7 linked regions of the Canis lupus familiaris genome follow. The protein of the gene in region 4 interacts with the protein of the main gene of each other region in a pairwise test. Links are inferred from orthologs where the notes say so. Each region holds a gene or a part of one and is shown on either strand. Other genes may lie near its edges. The genes, in order: NCK2, RNF8, SH3RF2, HOMEZ, SMYD1, MED18 and DNTTIP1.

The links.
Region 1: the proteins of HOMEZ (region 4) and NCK2 interact in binary tests that used the Homo sapiens proteins (3 or more experiments, as listed by UniProt). The two-hybrid records come from large-scale screens. The link is inferred for Canis lupus familiaris from reciprocal best matches to the Homo sapiens genes HOMEZ and NCK2.
Region 2: the proteins of HOMEZ (region 4) and RNF8 interact in binary tests that used the Homo sapiens proteins (3 or more experiments, as listed by UniProt). The two-hybrid records come from large-scale screens. The link is inferred for Canis lupus familiaris from reciprocal best matches to the Homo sapiens genes HOMEZ and RNF8.
Region 3: the proteins of HOMEZ (region 4) and SH3RF2 interact in a two-hybrid assay, tested with the Homo sapiens proteins (2 studies listed by BioGRID). The two-hybrid records come from large-scale screens. The link is inferred for Canis lupus familiaris from reciprocal best matches to the Homo sapiens genes HOMEZ and SH3RF2.
Region 5: the proteins of HOMEZ (region 4) and SMYD1 interact in binary tests that used the Homo sapiens proteins (3 or more experiments, as listed by UniProt). The link is inferred for Canis lupus familiaris from reciprocal best matches to the Homo sapiens genes HOMEZ and SMYD1.
Region 6: the proteins of HOMEZ (region 4) and MED18 interact in binary tests that used the Homo sapiens proteins (3 or more experiments, as listed by UniProt). The two-hybrid records come from large-scale screens. The link is inferred for Canis lupus familiaris from reciprocal best matches to the Homo sapiens genes HOMEZ and MED18.
Region 7: the proteins of HOMEZ (region 4) and DNTTIP1 interact in binary tests that used the Homo sapiens proteins (3 or more experiments, as listed by UniProt). The two-hybrid records come from large-scale screens. The link is inferred for Canis lupus familiaris from reciprocal best matches to the Homo sapiens genes HOMEZ and DNTTIP1.

Annotation. Positions count from the first base shown.
Region 1 is NC_049231.1:38,784,203-38,788,395, reverse strand, and holds the start of NCK2 (cytoplasmic protein NCK2), read left to right. Parts: upstream 1-1,367; 5' UTR 1,368-1,477; intron 1,478-1,598; exon of another isoform or gene 1,599-1,713; intron 1,714-2,692; exon of another isoform or gene 2,693-2,759; intron 2,760-3,181; exon of another isoform or gene 3,182-3,565; intron 3,566-3,674; 5' UTR 3,675-3,812; intron 3,813-4,193. UniProt on the Homo sapiens protein: Adapter protein which associates with tyrosine-phosphorylated growth factor receptors or their cellular substrates. Maintains low levels of EIF2S1 phosphorylation by promoting its dephosphorylation by PP1.
Region 2 is NC_049233.1:6,586,570-6,590,118, forward strand, and holds part of RNF8 (E3 ubiquitin-protein ligase RNF8), read left to right. Parts: intron 1-1,192; coding exon 1,193-1,300; intron 1,301-3,458; coding exon 3,459-3,549. UniProt on the Homo sapiens protein: E3 ubiquitin-protein ligase that plays a key role in DNA damage signaling via 2 distinct roles: by mediating the 'Lys-63'-linked ubiquitination of histones H2A and H2AX and promoting the recruitment of DNA repair proteins at double-strand breaks (DSBs) sites, and by catalyzing 'Lys-48'-linked ubiquitination to remove target proteins from DNA damage sites.
Region 3 is NC_049223.1:39,611,247-39,614,795, reverse strand, and holds part of SH3RF2 (E3 ubiquitin-protein ligase SH3RF2), read right to left. Parts: intron 1,472-3,549; coding exon 1,202-1,471; intron 1-1,201. UniProt on the Homo sapiens protein: Has E3 ubiquitin-protein ligase activity. Acts as an anti-apoptotic regulator of the JNK pathway by ubiquitinating and promoting the degradation of SH3RF1, a scaffold protein that is required for pro-apoptotic JNK activation.
Region 4 is NC_049229.1:3,678,713-3,682,914, forward strand, and holds the start of HOMEZ (homeobox and leucine zipper protein Homez), read right to left. Parts: upstream 2,825-4,202; 5' UTR 2,376-2,824; coding exon 2,288-2,375; intron 1-2,287. UniProt on the Homo sapiens protein: May function as a transcriptional regulator.
Region 5 is NC_049238.1:38,578,800-38,582,815, forward strand, and holds the start of SMYD1 (histone-lysine N-methyltransferase SMYD1), read right to left. Parts: upstream 2,835-4,016; 5' UTR 2,756-2,834; coding exon 2,619-2,755; intron 1-2,618. UniProt on the Homo sapiens protein: Methylates histone H3 at 'Lys-4' (H3K4me), seems able to perform both mono-, di-, and trimethylation. Acts as a transcriptional repressor. Essential for cardiomyocyte differentiation and cardiac morphogenesis.
Region 6 is NC_049223.1:71,511,455-71,515,776, forward strand, and holds the start of MED18 (mediator of RNA polymerase II transcription subunit 18), read right to left. Parts: upstream 2,816-4,322; 5' UTR 2,637-2,815; intron 2,060-2,636; 5' UTR 1,990-2,059; coding exon 1,917-1,989; intron 1-1,916. UniProt on the Homo sapiens protein: Component of the Mediator complex, a coactivator involved in the regulated transcription of nearly all RNA polymerase II-dependent genes.
Region 7 is NC_049245.1:33,743,176-33,746,724, reverse strand, and holds part of DNTTIP1 (deoxynucleotidyltransferase terminal-interacting protein 1), read right to left. Parts: intron 3,157-3,549; coding exon 3,098-3,156; intron 2,997-3,097; coding exon 2,936-2,996; intron 1-2,935. UniProt on the Homo sapiens protein: Increases DNTT terminal deoxynucleotidyltransferase activity (in vitro). Also acts as a transcriptional regulator, binding to the consensus sequence 5'-GNTGCATG-3' following an AT-tract.

The sequences.
Region 1 (4,193 bases), on a different chromosome or scaffold from region 4:
GAGCAACAGGAGGCTACTTGGAAGGCAATGGGGTGTACTGGAAAAAACACGAGTTTCGAAGTCAAGTATGTTTAGTTCTGACCCCAGTTCCTTCACTTACTGTTTCCATTTTTTTTATATGTATATGAGGATAATACTCTGTATATGTATACCTGTAACTCACACATGATACTATTATATATATTATATATAATTATTTTATACACACACAGATACACACACACACACATATAAAAGAAGTTTCATAAGTGTCATCAGTAACAATGTAAAAATTTGGATGGTGTCACTGGAAAGAGAAAAGAAGATACAAAGAGCTGTTTCAACAGCACCAGGACTCAGAATCATGAGGATTTAGACTGAGAGGGATCCCAAGGTCATCTTGCACTCTCTCCTCACTGCCTTTGGGGAGATCTTGGAGAGAGGGAAGGAAGGAAGAAATGAGATTGCAGTGAAGTTTCTCCAAGGAGCTGAGATGTCTGGTGGATTCTTGGCCAAGCCTGAGACCGTGGGAGGAGGAGCTACTTTGGGAAGAGGATAAATTTCATTCTGAACCTGGTGATATTGAAGAGATGATGAGCTGCCCAGAGAGACTGCAGACAATCTGGGGAATTCTCTAAGGCTACAGATCTGAGAGTTAATCACTGAACATCCAGACTGGAGGCATACAAAAAAATGATCAACTCTCTTAAAAAAAAACAAAAAAGGCACAAATCATTATAAAAACAAGGGGCCAAATTCTGCATCAGGAATATTACTGTTAGAGGTCAATATGCTCTCCAAGAGAATGATGTAGGAAGTTCAGAAGGGTAGCTGTGTTAGATAAATGAAAATAACTGAATTTCAGGTAATAGCAGAAATGCCACGTGCTTCTGAAGACTGCATAGGATAAAGATTAAGAAAGCGACATTGGATTTTAGATAGAGAATGTCCTTGGGGACTCTACCTTTGTAAAGGAAGGAAGAAGGAAGAGGAATTCAAGAACGGTGATTCAGTGATGGTTTACAAAGCAGACAAGTTAAAAACTGGGTCAATGTTATTATATGGATTTTGGGTAAACTAATTTAAAATTGGGTCAGACCATTTATTATAATTCTGCCTTCCTTATTAGTAAGACAAAAGGATGAACTGAGGCAGCTCTTTCCCCAAGGGCAAAGAGAAGGAGGCTATCCAGATTCCCTGATCTTGGATCCGTCCCTGCTCAGTACACTGTACCTACTCCCAGCTAGTGACCTACAGAGTGTGCCCTACAGGCAGGAAGGGTGCCAGGGACTGACATGGGAGCTAGGTAAACACGATCTCTCCATTTGTTAAATTTTAGATCGGTTAAGAAACACCTGTGCAAGGTTCCGCAGTTGAAAAAGCAGATAGTCAAAGGCTGTACTGTGACTTCAAAGGTATACTGGTTCTGGTTACCCAACCTGGATACTTCCTTTTGTGAACAAGGCAGAGGATCAATGGTTCAGCCTTGTCACCTTGGGTAAGTTATTATTGCCTTAATAGTAATGAGAAGCCAGGAGCCTAAGAAAGAATCTCATTAACATGGATCCAGGCTATTCCGCCAGGAAATCAGAATCACTTGAATAGTCGGGTTTCCTTTTGGGAAGCCGTGTGGGAAGGAGACTGGAGCACAGGCAGCTGGATGCATGTGCCTGTTAGAGGACAACTTGTGTTTCCCCTTCCTCCAGGGTTTTAATCTTCCGAATTTGTTTACAGGTAAGTCCCTGCGTGTGGCCAGGTGACCGGACCAGTCCCACTAGTAGTGACAAGGCCTGGGGGGGGGGGGGGTGCGGGGAGGGGCCCAGCCGCTGGCAGCGCCTGCCAGGTTCTGCCGGGTGGGCGCGGGGGGCTGGGCCGCAGGCGGGGCGGCGCGGGGCCGCGTGTCCTCTCTGCTCTCAAGAAGTGCTTCCGACGGGAATGATGGAGTACAAAAGTGTCTGTTTGGGAAAGTAAATAGATACAAGGCAAATAAATAAAAATGCCCAGAGGCAATTACAGAGAGGAAGTGACATTTTTATGTAAGTCACTTTTCTGATGGACCCCAGGCCTGCCTTGCCGAGGGTGCCGTGGGAATGCTTCCGGGAGGGGGCCGGCCGCCAAACAACTAGAGCGTCGCGATAAGAAAATCAAACAAAAAGAGGATGGAAAGGCCGCGCGGCAGTCACTGGGGGCTGGAAGTTGCTGCCTTTCTCTCCCCTGCCGTCCGCTCGCCGCCAGCGCTGCCCCAGTCCCCGCGCGGGCAGCCGGCAGCGGGCAGCGGGCAGCGGGCAGCCGGGACCCCCGCCCTCCCCGCGCCCCGCGCCCCCCGCGCCCCCCGCGCGCCCCGGCCGAGCCCCGGGTCCCCGCGCCGCCCGCCGCCCGCCCGCGCCGCCCCAGGTGGGAGCCGGGCCCCCGCCCCCCGCCCCCCTCGCCCGGGCCGGCCCTGGGCGGGGTCGCGCGCGGCCGGGGAGGAGCGGCGCGAGGAGGAGGAGGAGGAAGCGCGCGGAGGGGCGGGCGCAGCGCCGGGGGAGGGTCGCCGCCGCCGCCGCCGGGATCGTCAGGCCGGAGCCGCGCGGCCGAGCGGGCGGCGGGCGGCGGGAGGCGGGAGCGGCGGGAGGCTCGCGGCGGCGGCGGCGGCGGCGGGGTCCGCCCGGGCCGGCAGCGTCCGCCGCGCGGCGGGAGGAGGGAGCGGCGCAGACAAAGAGCGGCGCCTGGGCGGGCGCGGTGCGGCCGCCGCCCCGGGACCCGCGCCGCTGCCCTCCGCTCGGCGGGCGGCGCAGGAGGTAAGGCGGTGCCGGCGGGCGGGCGGGCGCGGGGCGGGGGCCGCCAAGTTGGGCCGCGCGGGGGGCGGCGCGCGCCCGGGGGCGGGGGCGGGGCGGGGGCGGGGGCCGTGCCCTGGGCGCCCCGCACCGCCCTGGGCCCCGCCGCGGCCTGCCCCCCGCTCCCGGCTGCGCACCTCCGCGCCCGCCTTCCGGGCCCCCCTGTGCGGGCCGGGCCGGGCCGGGCCGGGCGGGGGCGCGGGGGCGCGGGGGCAGGGCGGCGCTGCCGGGACCGGGGACCCGGGGCGCGCGGGGGCGGGGGCCGGGGGCGCGGGGGCGCGGGGACGAGCGGCCCCGGGAGGAAGCGCCGCGGCTCGCGGGGCCGCGGGAGGCCGCGGGAGGCCCGGAGAACTTGCTGTGCTTATGGCAACTCTCCTGACCCCGCACAAAGCTGCTGTCACGCCGCGTGGGGGAGGCCCTCGCCTGGGCGCGGGGCCGCGGGGCCCGGGGACGGTGCCAGGCTCCGCGCCGCGTCCCGCATGGGCAGGACCTCCCGCACCTGGAAGAAAGTTTCTCACGACGCTTGGCCTCCCGGTGTGTTCGGGGCGATCTAACCACCAAGTGGTTCTGGAAGAAACCGGCGTGTGGTTGGGTTTTAAGGCACTGAAGGCACCTCCCCCGTGAGCGCACCGAGTGTGGCGTTGCGTGGAGGCGTCTACTTTGCAGAAACGCCTTCGTGCGTGGACAGTAACGATCGCCTTGGAAGGTCTGCGGGGGATGCGGGGCGCGGCGGCTGGTGAACACCGGGCACCTGACTCTTCACGAGCTTTGTAAGGGCTTCAGGGACGGGGCAGGGACGGGGACAGTAGGCCTCTGTCACTTCAGACAATTGCGGTTGGCAGTTTCCCCTTTATTTGTTTTCGTTTATTTTGCCAACAGGTTTAAGGCTGAATCTGCCAACTTTGTGTCTGTATAAGGGGATGAGCAGGCCCCAGCGCTGGGCCCCCTCCTTCCGTTGAACCAAACAGAAACTGAACCACGGAGGCCAGCGGGCACGGCCTAGCCCCAGACCTGCAGGTAGGAGAGGCCCTCCCTGGTTCAGGCCCTGGCTTCTGGGAAGGGATTTGGGTAGGAATGAGAGTAATTCGGGTGTGTTTCATACCACTGCTGGTATATCGTTAGCAGCCCTGCTCTGCAAGTCTTAGAACGACTGAAAATGAAATTAACCAGGGCTACTATAACTTAATCAAAACAGATCTAAACTTTGCTTCTGAACACTCTCTTAACGCACCTACCAGGCGTTCCTGGGTGGGTGGGTGAGTGAACAGGATTCAGGCATGTGCCGCGTTTTATGAAAATAATGGTCGCCAGCGGACGCGCAGAGAAGAGATGGGCTTGACTGGCTGGGGAGGTGGGGCTGTTGATGGAGGTTTTTCGGTGTTTGGAACAGGGATTTCC
Region 2 (3,549 bases), on a different chromosome or scaffold from region 4:
ATTCAAGGGATTGTGGTTTTTTGTTTTTGTTTTTGTTTTGTTTTGTTTTGTTTTAAATACCATCAGGACCAAACTAAACAAATCTGCCAGCCACATGCAGTCCACAGGCCATCAGTTTGGAACCTTTGACATGAAACCAGTACCTGAGGCTGACTACATCTCTCAGCCTACCCTTCCCTATCCAGACAGGCCTGGAGCAGAATACAGAAAGGAGATTCAACTTTCATTTGGTTTGAGATCTTTATCTTTTGTTTAAATCACATAGTACCTTCTTTCTTAATTCCCAGAAAACCACCACATCTTTTTAAACCTAGCAATTTTTAAGTTTTCAGGGAACTTGACTTTAGTTAAAATGGGTCCAGACCTCTTTGCTGCCCAAAGCAGTGTACAGTCTTTACTTTGATTAGAAGAGATAAAAAAAAGATGAAAAATTAATCAGCCCCTCAGATATATCCTAAATGGCCTTTCCTTTCCCTTCAGGGGCTTCTGACACTTTTGGTCTGGGGATGAGGTGCTAAATTAGAAGCAAGAGAAAACACCTAGCATCCCCACCCCCAAAAGTGTGTCCACAAGTGGTCTGACCTCTTGGGGAAAGGAAAGGGAAATTGGACTGCAGACCTACAGGAGGAGGAGGTGGCAAGCATCATACAGCTTAGATCCCAATCAGCCCCCTGCCTCCAGGGAGTATAAATAACATCCTTATTTTGCAGAAGAGGCAGCTGCAAGGAATACAGGGGGCCTTATAAATTAATTCAGGCTTCCTGCCTCTATGGAGTGTTTTTCATGTCTGCTTTCATGTCCAGTGAGTTCTTGGTTGCTTGAGATGATTTTATATCACCTCTAAACTGCCATTGGTTATAGGATACATAAAGCCTCATTCTGGTCTTGGGTGGTTGGTGTGCTGAGTATGCTACCTTCAGTTTTTCTCATTTGGTTCTGGGAAAGGAGACAGAACCTGTGGTGCAAATGCAGAAGAAGTGGAGAGAGGAAAGAAAGGAAGACAGTGCCCTGTATCAGAAAGCAGTTCTGAGAAGCCATAACCCTTAGGGAAAGAGTTTTAGTATCATGTTGCTGTGCCAGGTTGAATTTTTTATTTAGAGTCCTGAATATTATTCCAAACAATTGCTCCCTGTCCTGTTTTGCATTCTCGTCGGTTCCCCCAAATGACAGGTGGGGTTGTGTGTCTTTTCAGGAAGAGAAGGAGAAGATGCAAGCCCAGAAGGAGGAAGTCCTTAGCCACGTGAATGATGTGCTAGAGAATGAGCTCCAGTGTATTATTTGCTCAGAATACTTCATTGAGGTAATTATAAGCAGTGGCTCATGCCTTTTTGTTCTCTCTACCGCACGGAGCCTCAGCTACACAGGTTCTGCCCTAGGGAAACATTCTGAAGCGATTTTTATTCTAGGAATCTGTTGTAGTTACTTGACTTCAAAGTGACCTCGAGAGATGGCCATATCTCATTTGTTTTTGTAGTTTTCTTCACCTTCACTGATCTTTTTCTCATTTTGCGTGATGTTGAGTGTTTATTTGGTACAATCACTATTTTTAGCTGCAGTAAAGCCTGTATTTCTTTGGTGTTGGGAGAAAACAGGGCCACATGGTATTAGATTTTTGAAGTATCGGTGTAAAGCTACTCTATAAAGCTTTTCTTTCTTTACTCTGAATGGACACAGTGCTGAGAGTAGGCAGCTCGTGCAGCCTGTGACGGGGTGGTAAATGTCACTGATGTGTGGTCACTTTGGGACTTCAGCAGCCAGGTGGAACATATTTCAGGGACTCTGAGGCTCCCTATGAAAACAAAACCTCTTCTAGGTTACCATTTGTCATCATGTCATATTTTTCCTTAGGACTTTATTTTTCACAAATTCTACCATTTGTGACCAGTTCATCATACGCCATTCATCTGAAACTCAAGTTAAATGACAGTGCTTTTCAGACTTCTTTAAAAAGGAAAATGCATGCACGCACTCTGTCCTCCTTTCTGGTAGTCTCTAGGGAGGTTGAGTGTATTAGCCTCCCGAGAAATCCCTCCTGGGCAGATCTGTTTCTTTTGCTGTGGATCAAATTGACACCATTTCCCCCATTGTTTCTAGTTATTTAATTCCCTACTTTGTAGAAACTCAGTCTGGCTTTGACAGGGCTCTGCTGGAGGAAGGCCAGGGAAGGGGGGTTCAGAAAGGTGATCAGTTAGCCCACCCAGAGCATCTCTACCGATGTAGAAGAGACAACCTGACCCATGCTTTGTTTACAGCAGACTGTCTGACCTTTTCCATGATCACCTTGTAAAGTCAGTATCGGAAAGAAGTTTTATTTTAATCAGGTTTTTAGTCATGTTTGTGAGGATTTATCTCACATAGTTAACAAAATAACTCCTAGTTGACTTTCTGTGCTCAACTTGGCATTTGAAAAATGCATAATTTCTGTTATTTTCCACTGCTATCCTTAAAAGCAGGAATGAAGACTTTTGAGCCTCAGAAAAACTTGTATTTTAGGAGATGTACATAAACAACAGTAATAAAGAGCATGGTTTTTATATTTTTAGAAGCAGATAGGGCAGGGTGCCTGGGTGGCTCAGTTGGTTAAATGTCTGACTCTTGTTCTGGCTCAAGTCATGCTCTTAAGATCAGGGGATCAAGCCCTGTGCTGGGTGCAGAGTCTGCTTCAGATTCTCTCTTCTTCTCCTTCCCTCCCTCTCACTTACTCACTCTCAAGTAAATAAATAAAATATTTTTTTAAAAAAAAGGATCTTGTTTAAAAGAAAAGTGGAAAGGACCCTGGCAGAAATCTGACCATTGGAGTTACTTAGAGGAGTTACTCAGATTTAGACTCCCTTCCGCTTTCCCTCTTCTCACAAGTGTATTTACTTGATTCAGTCACTGTCAGTGAACCCATTACATTTTTCCCATTTTTTCAGTTTCTTTTTTCCCAGCCTTTTTAGTTGTCTTTTAACATGTATTCTACTTTTTAAGTTTCTTTGAGTACAGATGATGCTTTCTACCATTCTATATACTGAATATTCAGAATGTGCTCCCCAGCGTCTATTAAAATTGAAGTTCTGGTTCACCATTAGCAGGCTATACATTTGTTTTCCATGAAAAAATTGGTAATGTATTTGTACCAAACATTCACACACTTACAAATCATACTTGTGTCCAGTGACATTTGTTTGCAAGGTAGCTAATCTGGCATTGGCAGTGTCATCTGAGTTGGTGGAACAAGACAGACAAATCAGCCTACATCTATGAACTTACCTTTGAGAAAGAAAATGAATCATCTAACTTAAAATTTCCTATCCCCAAGAACAATTTTAATACCATCTGTAAGCTTTCTAGATGGGATTAGAGTTAAATTTCCATTTGGCCTTGGCAGTGAACTCCTGTCCTAGCTTTGAGATCACAACTGTGCTGGGAAAGTAAGTATGATAGTTCTGATATGTGTGTTCACATTCCCATTGTAGGCTGTCACCTTGAACTGTGCCCACAGTTTCTGCTCCTACTGTATCAATGAATGGATGAAGCGGAAGGTAGAATGCCCCATTTGTCGGAAGG
Region 3 (3,549 bases), on a different chromosome or scaffold from region 4:
TTTCAAAATATGGAGGACAGTGAGGTTATCTAGTTTGAGGCAATCTGAATCAAATCTCATTTCTGGGAGTGGTGGAATAAAAATGTTTGACAAAATAAAAGACCTTTCCTAAGTTTCCATACCAGATCTACTTCTAGTATCTGGTGTACTTAGCATAAGCAGCAAAGAGTGAAAATCACCCCAACTTTGGCCTTTGTGAGAGAATTCGAATGTGTAAGGAATAATAAATATGGAATACACAGAATTAAAGTAATCTAGACTTCAGTAAAAGTGTTGTTATTGGACAGCTCGGGTGGCTTAGCAGTTTAGTGCCGCCTTCAGCCCAGGGCCTGATCCTGGAGATCAAGTCTCAAGTCCGGCTCCCTGCATGGAGCCTGCTTCTCCCTCCCTCCCTCCCTCTCTCTCTCTCTCTCTCTCTCTCTCTGTCTCTCATGAATAAATAAATAAAATCTTTAAAAAAAGTGTTATTACTTGCACATGGTGAGAAATTATCTGATAAATAAAAGAGGCAAAAAAATCTTAGGGTAATTAATATGCTTGGAAAATAATATCTTGTAAGAGGTTATTTATATATAAAGGCATAATTATGTTATTGTGTGTTTCTGGAGTGCTTTGAATACAATGTTTACAATTAAATAGAATGTTGCAAAGAGTAGAATTAGGTACTCAGAACTTAGTCAGCAAGAATGTCCTCACAAATACATGGTAAAGATAGTAAGAGCTCTATTTTGCCCAGCACAGTCAAACTGTATTTGTAAATTTCTGTCCACTTATCTGTCTCTTCTACTACTCTGCCTAAGGGCAGAGACTGTGACTTTTTCATGCTGCATCCCCCAGGGCCTGTGAAGAAGAGGTGCTCAAAAGTGACTGTAGAAAAAAAAAAAAAAAAAAAAAAAAAAAAAAAAAAAAAAAGTGACTGTAGAATGAATGAATGAAGATGTGAATACTTATTTTTGCAATTGTAATATAAAAGGTTTAAGGATTTTCATCAAACTCTTACTAGTAGATTTCTTTGGCAACTTCCATTTAGTTTTGAATGGTACAAACACACAGTACATATATATGCACACGTACATACATAGAAACATTTATGTGTAAAATAGGTACACATTTTAAAAATCAGCAAGTATTAAACAAGTCCAGGTTCTGCTACAGTCTCTGTGTAGTTGCTGGTGACCTCTACGGCTGCCCAGAATCTTACCTTGAGGAAGGTCAGGCAGTCCTGGTTCTCACTCTTGTCTTTGTCTCGTAGGTCGAAGTTGTAGAGGGCCCGGCACAGTGGGGGTGGCTGGGGAAGTTGTTTGATGACTTCCACGGAGCTGGCTGGGAAGATGCCACTGACTCCATTGATCTCCCCCTGGTACCAGTTCTCATCCAGCTGTCTCCGGAGAAGGATGACATCTCCCTTATTAAACCTCAGGTCACCAGGATTCTGCCCTCGGTAGTTGCATAAGGCCTTTGCTCGAGGCACCTGCAGTGTGGCACAGACCAATGAAATATGTCCTTAGTTTATATGCTCAGGGGACAGAAGATAGAACATTGATAGCTGATTACTGAGCACTTCCTTTTTTTTTTTTTTTTTAAAGATTCTATTTATTCATGAGAAGCACAGAGAGAGACAGAGAGGCAGAGATATAGGCAGAGGGAGAAGCAGGCTCTATGCAGTGAGCCCCATGTGGGACTTGATCCCGGGACCCTGGGATCATGCCCTGGGCTGAAGGCAGACGCTCAACTGCTGAGCCACCCAGGTGTCCCAAATGAGCACTTCCTATGTGCTAAGGGTTGGATGCTTATTACTCCCTTTCCTAAGTAGGGCAACTGAGGCACAGAGTGGTTTAGTACCTTGTCTAAGAAGACACAGCAGGGAAATAGTGGATTTCCTAGTTTCAGAGTCCCTGTTCTTAATCAATATGCAGGGAACAGGATTTTGGACTTGACTCCATAACTATGTGAACTTGAGTGAGTCAGTGACTCTCTCTGGAGCCTGCATACTAATTGGGAGAATTCTGGCTCTACCACTTTCTTCTCATGTGACTATGGTCAAGTCACTTAATCTTTCATAAATCGTATCCGTCTATAAAATGGGGTAAAAATAGAATATGTACTTCATAAGGATAGTCTTGAAGACTAAATGTTTTTAAGATCTTATTTATTTGAGAGATAGAGTGAGGGAGTGAGAGAGAGCATGAGTGGAGAGAGAGGGGCAAAGGGAGAGGAAGAAGGAGACTTCTCTCTGAGCAGGGAGCCCGACACAGGGCTTGATCCAGGGACTCTGGGATCATGACCTGAGCTGAAGGCAGACACTTAACTGACTGAGCCACTAGGTGCCCCTGAAGACTAAATATTTATAATGATGCATTTAGCATATTGCTTGATAAATAGTATGGGCTCAATAAATGACATCTCTTATAATCATCATCTGTAAGGAAAGGTTAATGATACCAGTTTTACCTATTCCTCGGTGTTGATGGGGAAAAAAACTGAGGTGAAAAGTCCCAGAAAATTCAAAGTGCTATATGAGGTGCACTGGGCTGCCTCAGTTGGAGAAGAATGCAACTCTTGATCTCGGGGTTGTGAGTTCAAGCTCCACACTGGGTGTAGAAATTACTTAAATCAATAAATAAGTTAATATAAAAAATAGGAAAGAAAGAGCTATATGCGAGTGATGTAACATATTTTGTCTTCAGTCTCCTCTACAAAGTGTAAACCTCATGAGTGTTTGGATCATTAGGAAGCACTGAGACAAAGAATTAGTCAGAAATCAGTCATCACTTAAAAAAAAACTCAGCTAAAGAACTATCATTTGTTAAATTAGTTGTCTATCTAAATAATTGTTTCAATCAAGTGCATCTTTTTTTTTCCTAATTGAAACAGGTTTCTACATGCAGAAACAGTTTCACTTTGGTCTTGCTTGAAGTCAGTGTGGCAAACTGAAAGTTCTCCTAACTTATGTTTACTAGCCCTTCAGTGTCACCTGGGTTTGGATTTTACTTTGTGCTTTCCTCAGCAGTGGGGTGAAGTAGTCCCCTCTCTCGGGGGTAGTCTTGCTATTCATAAGGGGATGTAAGCAGGCAGTATAGTATTTCAGTCTGCGAGAAACTTCCGAGTCTGCGATGTTCATTTGAAAAGGAGTATCAAGCAGTTTAGGGGTAGAGACAAGCCCTGAACAGTCCCTTGCTGATGGGATGATAAAGCAGTGTTTTTCTGCTGGTCCCTGGTCCCTGGATAGAGTAAGGAGGGCCCAGGGAGATAGAAAACCACAGGTACACAGCTCATCCTAGGGAAACGAGTGGACAAGTGAGCGAAGACATGTGTACTAGGAGTCTTAGCATGGTGTTGTGGATATCATAAATGGAATTGGTTGAAAAATTATGGAAAATCCTAAGTCATTAAAATTATGACACTGATCTATAATTAATAAAATTGCCAATTACTCATAATATATACTAAATATAACAGAAGAGGTTAAAAAGTTATGTTTTTATTATAAATGAGAACTAGGCTTTCATTGTAAATATATATGTATTTTTTTTAAATTTATTTATTTAT
Region 4 (4,202 bases):
TCCTGAGACTCCAGAACAGGGAGCAGAACTGGACAGGTTTAGGAGAGGAAAAATCCAAGGATAGAAGAAATCCACCTGCCCCTATTCTAGAGTGTGTGCTGAAGACTCCCTCTTATGTGGATTTCACTCTAAAACTTTAGAAGATGGAGTAGACTGTATGGGGATTGGAAGAGAGGAAGAGATCCAGGCTATCCGAGATGGGAGGGCCCCACCTTTAGCAAGATAACGAACCTTCCCAGCTCTTCCAGGGACTAGTGCTGAAGAATGGGGACTCATCATGCCATCCTCAATATAGAGATGTTAATCCCCCATATTGGTGGAAGTTCTCTCTTCCTTTGCATGACTTAGATATTAGCAGGATTAACCAAGAGGCACATTTACCCTATAGCTAAAGAAGCTGAAGTTTCAGGGCCATCTCTTGCACAGACCTCTTCCAAAGCACTGAAGGAGCCCCAAGAACATGTTAACATGGTCATAGTTTTTTGTAAAACTTGAAAAAAATATTTCAACTGCAATTGACTAAGATTGATGTCTCTTTCCTTTCTGACTTCCCCTCCATTATACTTCTTTTGTCAAGTGGCAGTGGAGGGGCCATAGGCATTTTGGGATTGGTTAAGGAAATTAAGTTGGGGATACATTTGCTTTGGGTTGAGTAGGTCTATCACTGTGGTTTGCAGTTACTTCTGTAAATAGTTTAATAGTAAGCATAGTGTTAGGGGCTGAACTGTGTTGTCCACCCCCCCACACACACACACACACACTCCATATTCTTACTGTGAAGTACTAAGTCTCGATACCTTGGAATATAACTGTATTTGGAAACAAGGTCTATAAAGAGGTAGTTAAGTTAAACTGAGGTCTTCAGGGTGAGTCCTAATCCAATATGACTGGTATCTTTAGAATAGGAAATTTGGACACAGACACGAACATAGGAACGACCATGGGAACACATAGGGAGATGGGTATCTATAAGCCAAGGAGAGGAACCTCAGAATGAAGTCAACCCTGTGGATACCTTGACCTCAGACTTCTACCCTCTACAATTGTAAGGGAATTTCTGGCTAAAGCCACCCAGTCTGTTGTATTTTTGTATGGCAGCTCTAGCTGACTAATACATCTACATTAATACGAATGTCAACGATCCAGAGCATATTAGTCATTACAAATTTGAAATGCTCTGAAATTTTATATCACATACATCAAGGAAATTTGATAGTGTTTTTTTCAAGTTTGATAAAAATCTGAAAAAAATTGTGATTTTTTTTAATTTTTTTTTAAGATTTTATTTATTTATTCATAGATACAGAGAGAGAGAGAGGCAGAGGGAGAAGCAGACATCAGAAGCAGACAGAGGGAGAAGCAGGCATCATACAGAGAGCCTGACGTGGGACTCGATCCAGGGTCTCGATCCAGGGTCTCCAGGATCACGCCCTGGGCTGCAGGCGGCGCTAAACCGCTGCGCCACCAGGGCTGCCCAAAATTGTGATATTCTTATCACTTATAAAGTGTGAAGGTGAAAATTTTCTAAATCACTAAGAATAAAAAAAAGTGTCATGTAGAAGACTTTTCTATACTCCTTAGAGAAAACATTCTCATCATAGAAGCTATCAAGAGCATGCACTCAGAAATAAAATTGTAAAAAAAAAAAAAAATGCTTGTCAAGTAGGTTTTAAAATTTTATTTTTCTTGATTTTATGATATTGTATTTGTCAGCTCTTTAAAATTTTTATCTTTTCTCATTCTAAACTATTTTCACTTTTGTGACTAATGTGTTTTTCTTTTAAAAGTCTCCAAAAAGGGGCATCTGGGTGGCTCAGTGGTTGAGCATCTGCCTTTGGCTCAGGGTGTGATCTCGGTGTCCTGGGATAGAGTCCTGCATTGGACTCCCCATGGGGAGCCTGTTTCTCCCTCTGCCTATGTCTCAGCCTCTGTGTCTCATGAATAAGTTTTTTAAAAAGCCCCAAAAATTGTGCTTCAGGCACCCCAAAACTAGCATCTACCCCTGGGACAACCCAAATGGATATGGGGAGTTTCTGCCTCACTTAGGGGAAACATGCTCCACCATTTTGTGCCCGGTCTCCTAAGAAATCCAAAAGCTGAGGGCTGACCAATCAGAACTGCAACTATTAAAAGATTTGGGATAGCTAAAGCTGCAGTGAAGGAATTTGTGGAAGAATTTCAGACAGACGTAGCACTAAACTGTGAGAAGCCAGGAAAGACATTAGGGCCACGGAGGGACTTTAGGCAATAAGCCACAGAGAAAAACCCTGGGAAGCCCCCCACTTACCTCTCTTTGGGTGTCTGCTCCTCATGCTGACTCTACCCTTCAGCATATCTAGCTTCACAACGTAAGTGTGGGTGCTCTGTAGTGACATCACAACTTGGCCATTATGATGAAATTAGGAGAATCTGATTATTCTCAGGTTAGGGCTTTCCTATTAGAAACATTGTCTCATTTGTGGGTAACTGAATTCTCTCATTGTTCAGGTGATGTGGAAGTCAAAATTATGTTAGAACCTGATCTTTTTCAAGGATGCCTCACTTTAATATTTATTGTTCCACTCTGGATTAGACAGAGGTCTTTGCTTTTCCTCTTCATATTTCTTGTGCTTTACTTTAGGGTTGCCCTTGATAGAGAAAAGGGCTTTGCTCTGCCCTTCAGTGCTTAAGAAGAATGTAACTTAGATGGTCCCCCGACACAAGGGGAAACTCGGGGATTTTATCCTTTAACTGTACCAGGAATTGGTGCTGGGTGCTAGGGAACTAGAGCTGGGCCCCCTGATAACTTTCCTGCCACTACCCAAATGGTGGGATTCTATTGGGGTGTCTTATACCAGTGCTGCCCAGCTCCTCTGTATCTTCTGCCCATCCAACTTTTGTGTAGCAATAGGACACCAATGGACAGGGCTTTTAGGAAATGAGATGACCAAGAAATGGGAAATAGGGAAGAGGAATCTTGCCGCTGGGTCTCTTGCCACCCCCCCCCCCCGAAAAAATCAATTTATCTCAGTATCTTATAATATACTTTCATATTTTACCTTTATTTCAAACATGAGGCCTCTTAACCAGAAGGGAGGGCAGTTGCATGAGGAAGCTGAAGTGAGGCTCAGCGCTAGTGGGATTGGGGCCCAGAGAACAGGGCTGCGCTGTGAAGGGGATGAGGACACTCTGGGACGGCCTGATGAGAACTGTGGTTTGGGGGGATTCACATAGCAAACATGCAATTCCTCTCCAGGTTAGCTAGTCAATGGGTGAGTTATTCAGTCTTTTTTTTTTTTTTTTTAGCAACTTCACTGTTCCTTAGCAATATCACCCAAAGTGCCAAGGCTTGGGAGAACAGAGAAAACTACAAGTGCCTTTTGTTTCTTTTTATGCCGGTATAGAAAAGGGAGTGGAAACTAGCAGCAGAAAATGAAACATTTGTGATATTATCCTTGCCATGAAAAACCCCAGGTCTGATTGTGCAGCAGCCTGTTTTCTAGCCTGGGAGTGGGATATGGTCAGGAAGGCTGGGGTTAAGCCCCATCTCCAGCTGCACTAACAAATTCTCTGACCTTGCTGAAGTCACTCCATCTCCGGACCTGTGTTCTCATCTGTACTGAAGCAGGGACCCCAGTGATCTCTAAAGATAAGCTTTTCCAGGTCTCTGATTATATGACTTGCAGATTGCAGGGATCCAGAGTTGCTCCAGAGAAACACAGGTGTTAGAAGGGAAGGCGGGTGTTAGACTGAAAAGTTCAGGGGTTAGGACTTACTATGAAGAGAAATAATGAGCTGCATTCATAAAGAGAAACAAGGTACAAGAAGAAGGCTCGTAGGTGTTAAGACAGGTTGGTGTAGGGAAACATCTGAGGTCTAGATGAGAGAAATGGGCAATGTTCCAGCTGTGTTGCTTCAAGGGTTCAAGCCCCTAACCAGGGTAATGTTTTCTCTTACAGTGCTGTCTCGTCCACAGCTGACGTATTATATGTTAAATTGTTCCTGTTCATATAGTCACCAGCCTTTAGGGGAAAGGACTCATCCCAATGCCTAATATGTAACACATCTCTAAAGATTGCTTCAAACTTCTAGTATTTCCCATTCCAGATTAGACCACCAGCTTACCCCCAGGCCCTGGGGCAGCTCTATTTGGGAAGAACTAGAAGATTCAGGTGTTGGCTCTCTAAAGCTGAGAATGGGGGGTGGGTGAGCCATGGTACTTC
Region 5 (4,016 bases), on a different chromosome or scaffold from region 4:
TCATGGGTGTTCGTTTATTGTTATGCTTCATAATATTCATGTATACTATATATGTCATATATTGTTGGAAAGAATTTTCACTTAATGCAGTGCTCAACTAAAAATAAAATCTTTCCTCATGTTTGTGTTTGGAGGGTAGGGCAGAAAGCCTGGCTTGCAGTAACACGGATTAGAATGTGCCTCTTTTGTGAGTGACTCAATCCTACCTCCCCACTCAGGTTTCTTATCTACAGTGGCTGTGTCTCATGAAGTGGCAAAATGGAAGGACCCGATGGGCAAAGGTTTCCTTTGCTGCCTCTTTAGGCTATCCCAGGTATACCCAAAGAGTAGCCCCCTCATTTTTGCAGTGACAAACTTGGGAAAAATCACTTTTTAAAAGTATCTCTTTTTAATTTTTTTCAGTCAATTTAAAATCACCCCAATTTTTATAATAATAATAATAATAATAATAATAATAATAATTATACAACACTTTGTTAGCACTTTATCTGCAATGTATACTAAATTTGTTTTGTAATCATTCCTTCAAATTAATGATTTACTTACAGTAAGAAAAACATATAAACATCCCAAATATTCAGTCATAAAGAAGTGGTAGGAAAGCAGGCAGCCATTAAATACTATGTTTATGAAGAGGACATAGTAACAAAGAAGTAGCTAAATTATTAAATGTAAAACATCATAGTTTCTGTAATAAAATCCCAGCTGTGTAGTACAAATGAAACCTATGTTTTAAAATAAGCTGGAAGGAAATATACAACAACGTTTAGGGTTAGTACCTTTGTGTGAAAATATATTTTATTTCTTCCTTAGTTTTACTTTTATTTTTTTTATTTACTTATTTTTTTAGTTTTACTTTTAAAATGGAAGGAAAACCCACTCAACTCCAAACGCTCTTAAAAGGGATACTAATTGACTATATCGACTTTTAGGAAACTAGAGACACCAAAGGAAGTATTCTACATAAGGCAATGTGGCAACACAGTGACAGCACCAAGATCATTGTTCAGAGGTTTTGTTTTCTAACTTTTTAGTCTTAATTCTGAATCCCACTGACTCCTTAACTGCACTCACCTCCAGCCACAAAACATACACAAATAAACTAATAAAGTAAGACAAACTCCCTGTTGAAGAGGTATTACTGTCACCTCAGCCCCCTTACATTCCTCAGGTGACCGTCAGCCATATATTCCGTTCACTATCTTCTCCCTGAAGATCCTGGTAGGCAGGAAGAAATGAAAATCTGAATGCTGATCAAATTATCCTTGGAAAGCAGTGCCCATTCTCAGGATGGTGAGTACAGTGAGCCAAGCACAAAGCCTAGATTACTAGAGGCCATCTTGATTCAGACCACATCAATGTCAGGCAGGTCACCCCAACTTTGGGCTCAGAAAATATTCTTACAATTTAATCACTTGGCAAGGTGTTTTGTTTTGTTTGCTTTTTTAAAATAAAGCTTTAACACTAATTTAAAACTTTGGTAGTCAAGTGGGCAGGCATATGGTTGTTATATGGGAATATAAATTTAACAGAGCCACTTTGGAGAGCCTATTAAAATACAAACAGTACACTCTATGACACAATTCCTCTTCTAGCCATATGTCCTGTAGAATAATCACACATGTGTACAAGTAGACATTGTCAAGGATATAACTGCAGAAATGTTTGTTTTAATGAAAAGCTGGAAACCACCAAATGTCTCTCAATAGGGAAGTGGATAAATAAGTTTCCATGTATTTATTGGGTAGAATATCTACAGGAGTTAAAATAGGCAATCCACATAGCATATTGATCAACACAGATAGATCTACATGTGGGTAAAAGAAGTAGATCTTTGAGGATTTAAAAGAATTATCTGTAGACTTATAGTTCTCATAAGGATACATATCAAAAATATGTTTAGTGAAAAGAGCAAGTTCTAGAATGACATCTCAAATATGATGCCACTTCTGTTAAGAAAAAAAGACAAACTACAGCTATACATTGTGATATATGTATATAATAGTGCAAGAACATTCTAGAAGTAAACACATTAAAATCATAACACCTATTACCTCTGAGGAAAGACAGAGAAGATTGGGATTGGCAGAGGAAAAGATAAAAAGGGATTTCAGCCTCTTGGTAATATTCTAATTTTTCAAATGTAAATGGATTTCAGTGTTACTTGTGTATTTGCAATTGTTTTTTTAAAGTCTCAGCAATTACTTTATGCTTTAATATACTGATTATACTCAAGAAGCTAAAAACATGGAGCCTTCTGTAGGAAAATGTTTCCTATAGACCACACCCACCTTTCCATTTCCCTTCCCTCTGCCCTCCCCACACACAGCACACCCACTCAGCCACGTTCCACATTCAATATTCAATGTACTGTGAAAAAAGTGCCCCAAAGCCTTTGCTTATCTTTACAACCCTCCTAGGGACCAGAGTAAATCACATTAACAATGACTCTTTGCAGAAAAAAAAAGATACCAGAAAACAGCTGTCAGAAGTGCCATTTTGTTAAAAATGATCACATGGATTCTATCCCTTTCCCTTAGGATTTTGAGAGCAAAGGATTTCAGAGTTTGGCATGAGCCACACCAACAGAAAAGGTGGCAACACCCCACATTTCATACCTGTCAAAAACTACTGCGGAATAAGCCCGCTCAGCAAAGATGACATCCGCAGCCCAGAACTCCTTAGTGGCCTTCAGACCTCTGCCCTTGCCCTCAGAAGTGAAGACCTCCACGTTCTCCATTCTCCCTATTGTCATCTCAGAGTCCCTCAGGCAGCTCAGTGGATATATCACACTGAGCCAAGTCCCTTGTCCTTGCTATTTCAGCACCTTCAGCATCCCAAAGAGCAAGCCTATAAATGGACAAGCACCTCCCCTTCCCTACCCCCTCAGCTGCTGGGCCCTCACCTCCCCCTCTGCCACATTTCCTGGAGGTGGGAATGGGGCGGAAGAGAGGACAGTGATCTGACAAGGGTCTCATTCATCACCTAGCAAAACTGACAAGGCAGAAATGACCATGGGCTGGTGTGCCTCTCAGATTGGGTCTGAAAACTGAAAAGTTCCTTTGCAAGAAGCAGCTCAGTCCTGGATGGCAGTTGTGCTCAGCTTTAGTTGGAATAGGGAGCACTTGGTCAGTATGGTATTTTTAGCAGCCAGATGCCTCTGTCAATCCAAAGCAGACAGCTGAAATGGTCCAAGAGAAGAGGTGATGCTTGCTGCTCTGGGAACCTTCAGCTGTCAGGCTTCTACTTTCTCAAGTGTGATGGGCCCCTTGTCGCCTTCCCTCTCCTCCACAGGCAGACTGTTTGCAGAATACAGCAGATGCCAAACTGACGCCCTTGGCATATACATAACATTATTATTTAGGCTACCAGGGGCATTTCTCTTCTTCAGTACTACCTGGGGCTCCCACAGCACTCCCACCCAGGGCATGAAGGTCTGGGAGCTCCCTGATGATGCAGGTGTGCTGGATGCAGGCTGTATTTGGAGAAGTGGCAAGCTTTGGCAATGAAAAGCCTCATTTCTATCCTTTTATCAAGTCTCCCTTAAACATGTGTCTGCTGCCAGGAAAATACCAACATGCTCTGTCTTTCCTCTTTCCCAGGAATGAGGGCATTGGAGGGGCAATTCTAAAATGTCCATTGACCTAAATGCCACTGTTCTTTTTCTTTTTTCCTTTTAAGTAAACTCTACACCCAATGTGGAGCTTAGACTCACAACCTGGAGATCAAGAGTCACATGCTCTACTGACTGAGCTAGCCAGGTGCCCCTAAAAGCTACTCTTCTTGATTGCCAGACAGCTGTTACTAAAGTTGAAAAGACAAATACCATATGATTTCACCTACATGTGGAATCTAAAAAGCAAAACAACAAAACAAAGCAGAGACCCACAAATACAGAGAACATACTGGTGGCTGCCAGAGGGGAGAGGGGTGGGAGAATGGGCAAAAGGGGAGTAGGAGATACAGCTTCCAATTGTGGAATGAATATGTCACAGAGATGAAAGGTACAGCACAGG
Region 6 (4,322 bases), on a different chromosome or scaffold from region 4:
TCCATTTTCTTTATGTTTAAACTTTTTAAAATATATTTTTTATGTTTTTATTAATGACACAGAGAGAGGCAGAGACATAGGCAGAGGATGAAGCAGAGAGCTCCCTGCAGAGAACTCGATGTGGGACTTGATCCTGGAACTCAGGATCACACCCTGAGCCGAAGGCAGATACTCAACTGCTGAGCCACCCAGATGTTCCTATGTTTGAATTTTTAAATAATAAAACAAATTTAAAAAAAAGATAACTACTGGGGATGCCTGGTAGGTCCCCTGCAGCAGGGACTCTATCATATTAATGGTGCCTCCAGTGACAGGCATAATGCTGACTGGAGGTGCCTTCATGGTGTCTGATTAAGTTGCAAACAACAGAACTGGTTTCAGAATCTCCAGTCAAGCAAAGCATAAGAAACACCTGGAGAAGTGTTACACTGTTACCAGGTTCAGTTGCTAGAGCATGCAACCTTTTTTTTTTTTTAAAGATTTGATAGAGAGCCCTGCACAGGTGGAGACGGGCAGATGGAGGGGGAGGGAAACAGACTCCCCACTGAGGGCAGAGCCTGACATGGGGCTTGATCCCAGACCCTGAGATCAGGACCTAAGCCAAAGTTAATAGTTGGATGCTCCCCCAACTGAGCCACCCAGGTGTCCTGAGCACACAACTCTTAATGTACAGGTCCTGAGTTCAAGCCCTATGCCAGGCATAAAGTTTACTTTAAAAAAAAAAAAAAAAAGATAATAAAAAAAATAAAAAGCTGACTACCTATTGGTATGAGAAGAGATAGTGCTAGTCAGAAGTAGAAACAATGGAATAAGTAAAAGGTTACTAAAGTAGTTCAAATGAGGGATGGTAAACCAGGGTGTGGTACTGTAGGTGGAGAGAATATTTAAAAGATACATTGGAAGTAAAATGAATAGGATTTAGAGATATGCTAGATGTGGGGGTAAAGTGAAAAACAGATTGACTCCTAAATGCTTGGTTCATGCAACTGGTGAATGACAGTGGCACTTACTGGGTTGGGAAAGACTGAAAAGTAGCTTGAGGAGTGAAAATTAATAATGTTGTTCATATTAAGTTACTAAATGGATGATCTGAATTAAAGTCTAACCTCTTCCACTAACATTAAATGACCTCCTGAAAATCACTGCCCTCTCTGGATCTTGAGTTTTCTCATCTGGGCAAGGTACTTTACCTGTTTCCTGATCTATAAAATGGGGCTAATGACAGTATCATAGAATTACTATATGATCCAGTAATCCCACTTCTGGGCATATATCGAAAATTCAAAGCAGGATCTTGAAGAGATATTTGCACACTCACGTTTGCTGCAGCATTATTCATGATAACCAAAAGGTGAAAGCAACCCAAATGACAAATAAATAAATTTTTAAAAATGTAAATAAATAAATTATAAATAAACAGATTATACACACAATGAAATGTTATTCAGCTTTAAAAAGGGGGATCCCGTCAGATGCTACAATAAGGATGAACCTTGAGGACATTATGCTAAGCAAAACAAGCCAGTCAGAAAAAGACAAGCACTGTATGATTCCATTCATCTAAGATATCAAAAGTAGCCAAAATCAGAAACAAAGTCAAAAAGTGGTTGCCAAGAGCTGAGGGAGGGGAAAGGAGTAATTAGTGTTTAATGGGTATAGACTTTCAGTTCTGCAAGATGAAAAAGTTCCTAGAGATCAGTTATACAACAATGTGAATATACTTAACACTACTGAACTGTATGTACACTTAATATTATGTGTTGGTGACCATAATTAACATTTAAAGATTTTTTAAAAGTTGTTGTCTTATTGGGTGCCAGAAATTATGCAGGCTGCCTTTGTGTAACAGCCTCTCATCCCCACAGTGCTGATCAGAAAGAGGAAAACAGGTCATCCAAGTTGCCTGGTTTACTTACCCTGCAGCAGGTACTCCATCATATTAATGGTGCCTCCAGTGACAGGCATCATGGTGACTGGCGGTGCCTCCATGGTGTCTGATTGAGCTGAAGACAACAGAACTGGTTTCGGACTCTCCAGTCAAGTAAAGCACAATAAACACCTGGAGAAGTGTTACATCGTTAATACATGAGCGGGGCACAGAAACAATAGATCTGTTTGTGTCACTGGCCTCGATATGAAAAGATTCATTCAACCATTCAAATTTTTTGAGTAACTGCTATAGGCCAGCTTCAGGAACTGATGATACAGAAATATACAAAGGATACTTGGTCATGGAGTTACAGCACAACCTTTCCAGTCTCAGTGTCTAAACGTTTTCTGTGTAATTTTGAGGAAGTCATCAAACCTGGAAGTCAATGTCTTCCTTATAAAATGGGGCCAACGATATTTAACCAACCAAGACTTTGTGGCTCGGACATGTAAAAACATTCAGAACTGAAAGGTTGTCTGTTAAAAGATTGTCTACTCTTCAATTTATAGATGAAGATAATTGAGTCTCGGAGAGGGGCCCAAGGATACACAGCAAGTCGGTGGCGGAGCTTGAATCAGACTGAAATCTAGGCGTTCCGTCTCTCTGAAAACGCCTTTCCAAGAGAGCGAGGGGGGAAGCGTGAAATTCTTTTAAAAGGATGGTTTAGGTCCTCTTAAGGCAGCATCAAAGACACGTGCCCACTTACACTAGAAACACACCTCCGAGCGCGCTCTGGTCTCTTCTCGCAGAGTGGGTAATGTATCCTCTCCAGCACCTCCGAGCAGCATTTAAATAACTAGCCCCCAGCCCTAAAGTTAAAGCCCTCCAGGTAGTGCAACAACTTCTTTTCTTTCCACTTCCGGCAGGAAGCGGACGTCACGCAAATCTTGACACTGGTGCTCCGCGACGTAAGGGTGCCGAGAAGGGATTAAAAAAAAACCAAACCGCGCTCTTTGCAGCCTCGCAAACAGAAGCGCATGCGCGAGACGCAGGGCCGCGGTATGGAAGATGGCGGCCTGCCTTGGAGGCTTCCCGGGGATTTACGGCGGGGGAGGGGAGGCGCTTGACGTCATTTGGCGTCCTCTAGGAAAATATTTTTTCAAGCTCGACGATCTGGAATGATATTGTCTAGGAAATCTCTTGAAACTGACGGGGGCAAAAGAGAGCCCAGGGAAGGGAGCTGCGGTAAACAGACTTACAAAATAGACTTTTTTTGTTGGGTACCTGACGACCAAGAGACACCTTTTATTGCAAAGCATAATGTTCTGAACAATTAGGGAGCTCAGCAATACACTTAATATTTGTTCACTTCACTGTATATATTTTACTTAATTTGAAAATATAGGAAGATAAATTCAATGAATGTTTGTTGCACGCTGCTAATATTTGTCAAGCATATAAGGTGCAAAGTGAGGACTAGAATGAAGTGAAAGAGGTACCCTCGGAGTGAAAAAAATAAAGGGACACCAGAAACTCGGTAGCTAAGATAAATACTATTTCAATGCGGTATTTTACAAGTTTAAGGCAATAAATAATGAACAAAATACCAAAACTTTAAGTTTGATCCTCAAAGTAGCCCTATGAGCCAAGTACAATGATTACGGTAATTTTACTGATGGGGAAACCCAAGCAACGAGTTGTTAAATAACATGCAAAGGAATGGCTGCAATACCAATATAAGCTGTTGACTTCAGAGCCCTCTCACTTAAAAAATTTTTTTTTAATTTATTCATCACACACACACATACACACACACACACACACACACACAGGCAGAGGGAGAAGCAGGCTCCATGCAGAAGCCCAACATGGGACTCGATCCCAGGACTCCAGGATCACGCCCTGGGCCAAAGGCAGGCCCTAAACCGCTGAGCCACCCAGGGATCCCCAGAGCCCTCTCTTAATTACTGTACTGGACTTACAGCTCTAGTTCCCCTGCTGTAATCCACTATCTCCCATTCATTAATTTTTAAAATATTGAACATTTCTTGAAGGTCTAGACTGTTCTCGACATCTTGTTAGGTGTTAACTCCATCTGTATCCTCAAATGAGTTTACAGGCATGTTGTGGGAATCAGAGGGTTAAACTAAGGAGTCTGTACTATGAAGTTTGATTCAATAGGAAAATGAGATATCAACAGCTCATCCCCTTTGGAAGCAAGCAGGATGCTTGGTCCATCTTGGGGGCATCAAGGAAGGATTCCTGGAAAAGGTAATCAATGCCCAGAGTAACTTGAAGGGTCAATAGGTGTTAGATAAAGAAGGGAGAAAAGGGAATTTCAGGTGAAGGGAACAGTATGTTCAAAAGGATACTGAGTTAAATAGAATTAGGGTATAGAATCTGAGGTCAGGGACTGAAATAAATGAGTCTGGGGAAGGAGTAAGGCCCAGAC
Region 7 (3,549 bases), on a different chromosome or scaffold from region 4:
AGAAGCAGGCTCCATGCACCGGGAGCCCGACGTGGGATTCGATCCCTGGTCTCCAGGATCGCGCCCTGGGCCAAAGGCAGGCGCCAAACCGCTGCGCCACCCAGGGATCCCTAGCCTTTGAGTTTAAATAATTATTTCACTTCCCAAGTAATATAAAAAAATTTGAAAGTATGCATTTTTTAAAAATTTATTTTATTTATTTTTAAAAGATTTTATTTATTCATGAAAGACAGAGCGAGAGAGAGAGGCAGAGACACAGACAGAGGGAGAAGCAGGCTCCATGCAGGGAGCCCAATGTGGGACTCAATCCCGGGTCTCCAGGATCATACCCTGGGCTGTAGGCGGCGCCAAACTGCTGCGCCACCAGGGCTGCCCTCTTTTCTTCTTCTTCTTCTTCTTTTTTTTTTTTTTTTTAAGATTTTATTTATTTATTCATGAAAGACACAGAGAGAGAGGCAGAGACACAGGCAGAGAGAGAAGCAGGCTCCATGCAGGAAGCCTGATGTGGGATCACGCCCTGAGCCGAGCCAAAGGCAGACACTCAGCCGCTGAGCCACCCAGACACCCCAAAAGTATGCATTTTCTAACTCAGTTTCAATCTTATTTCCAGGGATTTCTGATTCCTGCAGAATCACCCACACATGTTCATATGAGATGTTTGGGACAGACAGCATTTTTTGTAATAGCAAAACTGCTGGAAAAACATAAATATCCACTAATAGGGGAGTATTGAAAAATTATGGAATATCTATGCTATGAATTCTTATTTGTTAGAAATAAAATGAGGGAGATTAAATTTAATAACATGGACAAATCTCTAAGTGGTCAGCTTTATAGTAGTCAGCTTACTTTTTCTATAAAGGGCCAGCTAGTAAATATTTTAGGTTTTGCTGGCCATATACATCTTTGTCACATATCCTTCATTTTAATTTTTATTATTGTTTTTAAAGATTTTATTAAAAATATTTTATTTATTTGAGAGAGAGAGAGAGTGCACACAGAGGCAGAATGAGAGAAAGAAGCAGACTCCCCCTTGAGCAGGGAGCCTGATGCGGGGCTCAATCCCAGAATCTTGGGATCATGACCTAAGCTGAAGGGAGATGCTTAACTGACTGAGTCACCCAGGTGCCCCAAGGTTTTATTTTTAAGTAACTTCTACACCCAACATAGGCCTTGAACTTACAACCCCAAGATCAAGAGTGCTCCACCAACTGAGCCAGCCAGGCACTCCCACTTTAAGTTTTTAAAATCACTTTTTTTGTCTTAGATTTTATATATTCATGAGAGAGAGAGAGAGAGAGAGAGAGAGAGAAAGAGAGAAAGAGAGAGGCAGAGACCCAGGCAGAGGGAGAAGCAGGATCCATGCAAGGAGCCCGATGTGGGACTTGATCCCGGATCCAGGATGGGGATGGGGTAACTGGGTGACAAGCATTAAGGAGGCACGTGATGTAATGAGCACTGGGTGTTATATACAACTAATGAATCACTGAACTCTATCTCTGAAACTAATAATACACTATATGTTAACTAAACAATTAAAAAAAAAAAAAAAAAGAAAAAGAAATGTGAAGCCACTTGCCCAAGGTCATACAGCTGCTAAGTAGTGGAACCAGGACTGAAACCATGGTCTTAACCACTATGCTCCTGGAATTCCAAGGAGGTCCCAGAGCACATACACTGGGGGGGAACGATGCAGGAAGGGTTTTAGAAGAGGTGGATCTTGCAGAAGGGGCAGAGAGGGGAGGAAGGTCATCAGAGGGAATAGCAGGAGTTGAAGACACTTGAAGGAAAATGAAGTAGCACGTAGGCCACAGTGTCTAGGTGCTGAGGATCTCAGGGTGTAAGACTGAAGAAGTAGAAGCAGCAGGTCTGCCCTTCAAAGAATCTTAACTTGCACAGAATGTATTGGACAGAGCTGTAATTCTGGAACTCCAAGCCTTAGGTATACATGCAAAAATGCATATCTTGAACACACATGCACTATTTTTCCAATATATTTGGATACTTTTGTGATTAAAAAAACACAAATTCGGGCAGCCCGGGTGGCTCAGCGGTTTAGCACCGCCTTCAGACAAGGGCCCGATCCTGGGGACCCGGGATCAAGCCCCACATCGGCCTCCCTGCATGGAGCCTGCTTCTCCCTCTGCCTATGTCTCTGCCTCTCTCTGTGTTTCTCATGAATAAATAAATAAAATCTTAAAAAAAAAAACAAAAAACCCACTTCATTGAAGAGGGTAACTGATATCATGTTCCCTATTATTTTCTAAATAGTAGAGACCAAAGTACCTCTCTTTGAGAAGGGTTAGAACTGCTGCTTGAATAAGGTAATGGTTAAGAGCTCAGGCTTTGCTGAAGACAGACCAAGACTGAGTCTACTCACCATGTACTGGCTGAAAACTTTGGGCAAGTCATTTAGCCTTGTGTGTGTGTGTGTGTGTGTGTGTGTGTGTGTGTGTTTTAATTTGTAAAACAATAACAGCCATCCCTATTTTACAGGATAGCTCCCAGAGGTAATGCAAGTGCAGCAGGTGAAATGCTGTTTGGTCTGCAACAAGCACATAAGGAAAGTAGTTGTTGTTTTTTTAGATTTTATTCATTTGAGAGAGAGTGAGAGCATAAGCCTGGTGAGGGGCAGAGGGAGCAGCAGACTTCCTGCTGAGCAGGGAGCCTGATACTGGTCTTGGTCCTGGGATCTGGGATCATGACCTGACCTGAAGGCAGATGCTTAACTGCCTGAGACACCCAGGAAAGTAGTTGTTATTGAGGGGCAGAGGTGTTCATTAAATTACAAGAGGTGAAGGTTAAGGGCAGAGGGGTAACTGGAACCCAGAAGTCCTGACTCCCAGATCAGTATTTGTTCCCAGAATCTCTGTGCCCTCCAGAACTCCCAACACGCACACTGCAATGGCCTGCCTGCCTCCCAGCTTTCACTTACCTTAAAGAGGTGCGGGTGCTTGATGTAGATTCTCCCTCTGGTGCCCCCCATCCCCAGGGCCCTGAAAAGGAATGGAGGAGTGGTAAGGATTCCAGCAGCTACAGTCCTATGGGTGAGCCCCTGGGGTGCCCCCTCCCTCAGTGCCAAAGCTCTTAAACTTACTTGTTGGCTCGAGATCCCAACACAAAGGTGGTAGATTCATTCAGCCGGGCTGGGTCCCACTATGCAAAAGACAGAGATTGATGAGGATGAGGCTGACCTGGTGGGCAGGATAGAAATACTCTTCTCCTGCCTTCTCCTACCACCATCCATCCTCATCTACTATTCCAAACCGCTGATTCAAGAAACCAAGTACTGACAATAAAGACGTAAGATATAGTCTCTGGTCTGGGGCCGCAGACGTAATGTATAACCTTTTTTTTTTTTTTTTAAGATTGTATTTATTCATTCATGAGAGCCAGAGAGAGCCAGAGACATAGGCAGAGGGAGAAGCAGGCTTCTTGAGGGAAGCCTGATGTGGAACTCAATCCTGAGACCCTGGGATCATGACCCGAGCCAAAGGCAGATGCTCAACTACTGAGCCATCCAGGTGCCCTGTATATATAATTATACCA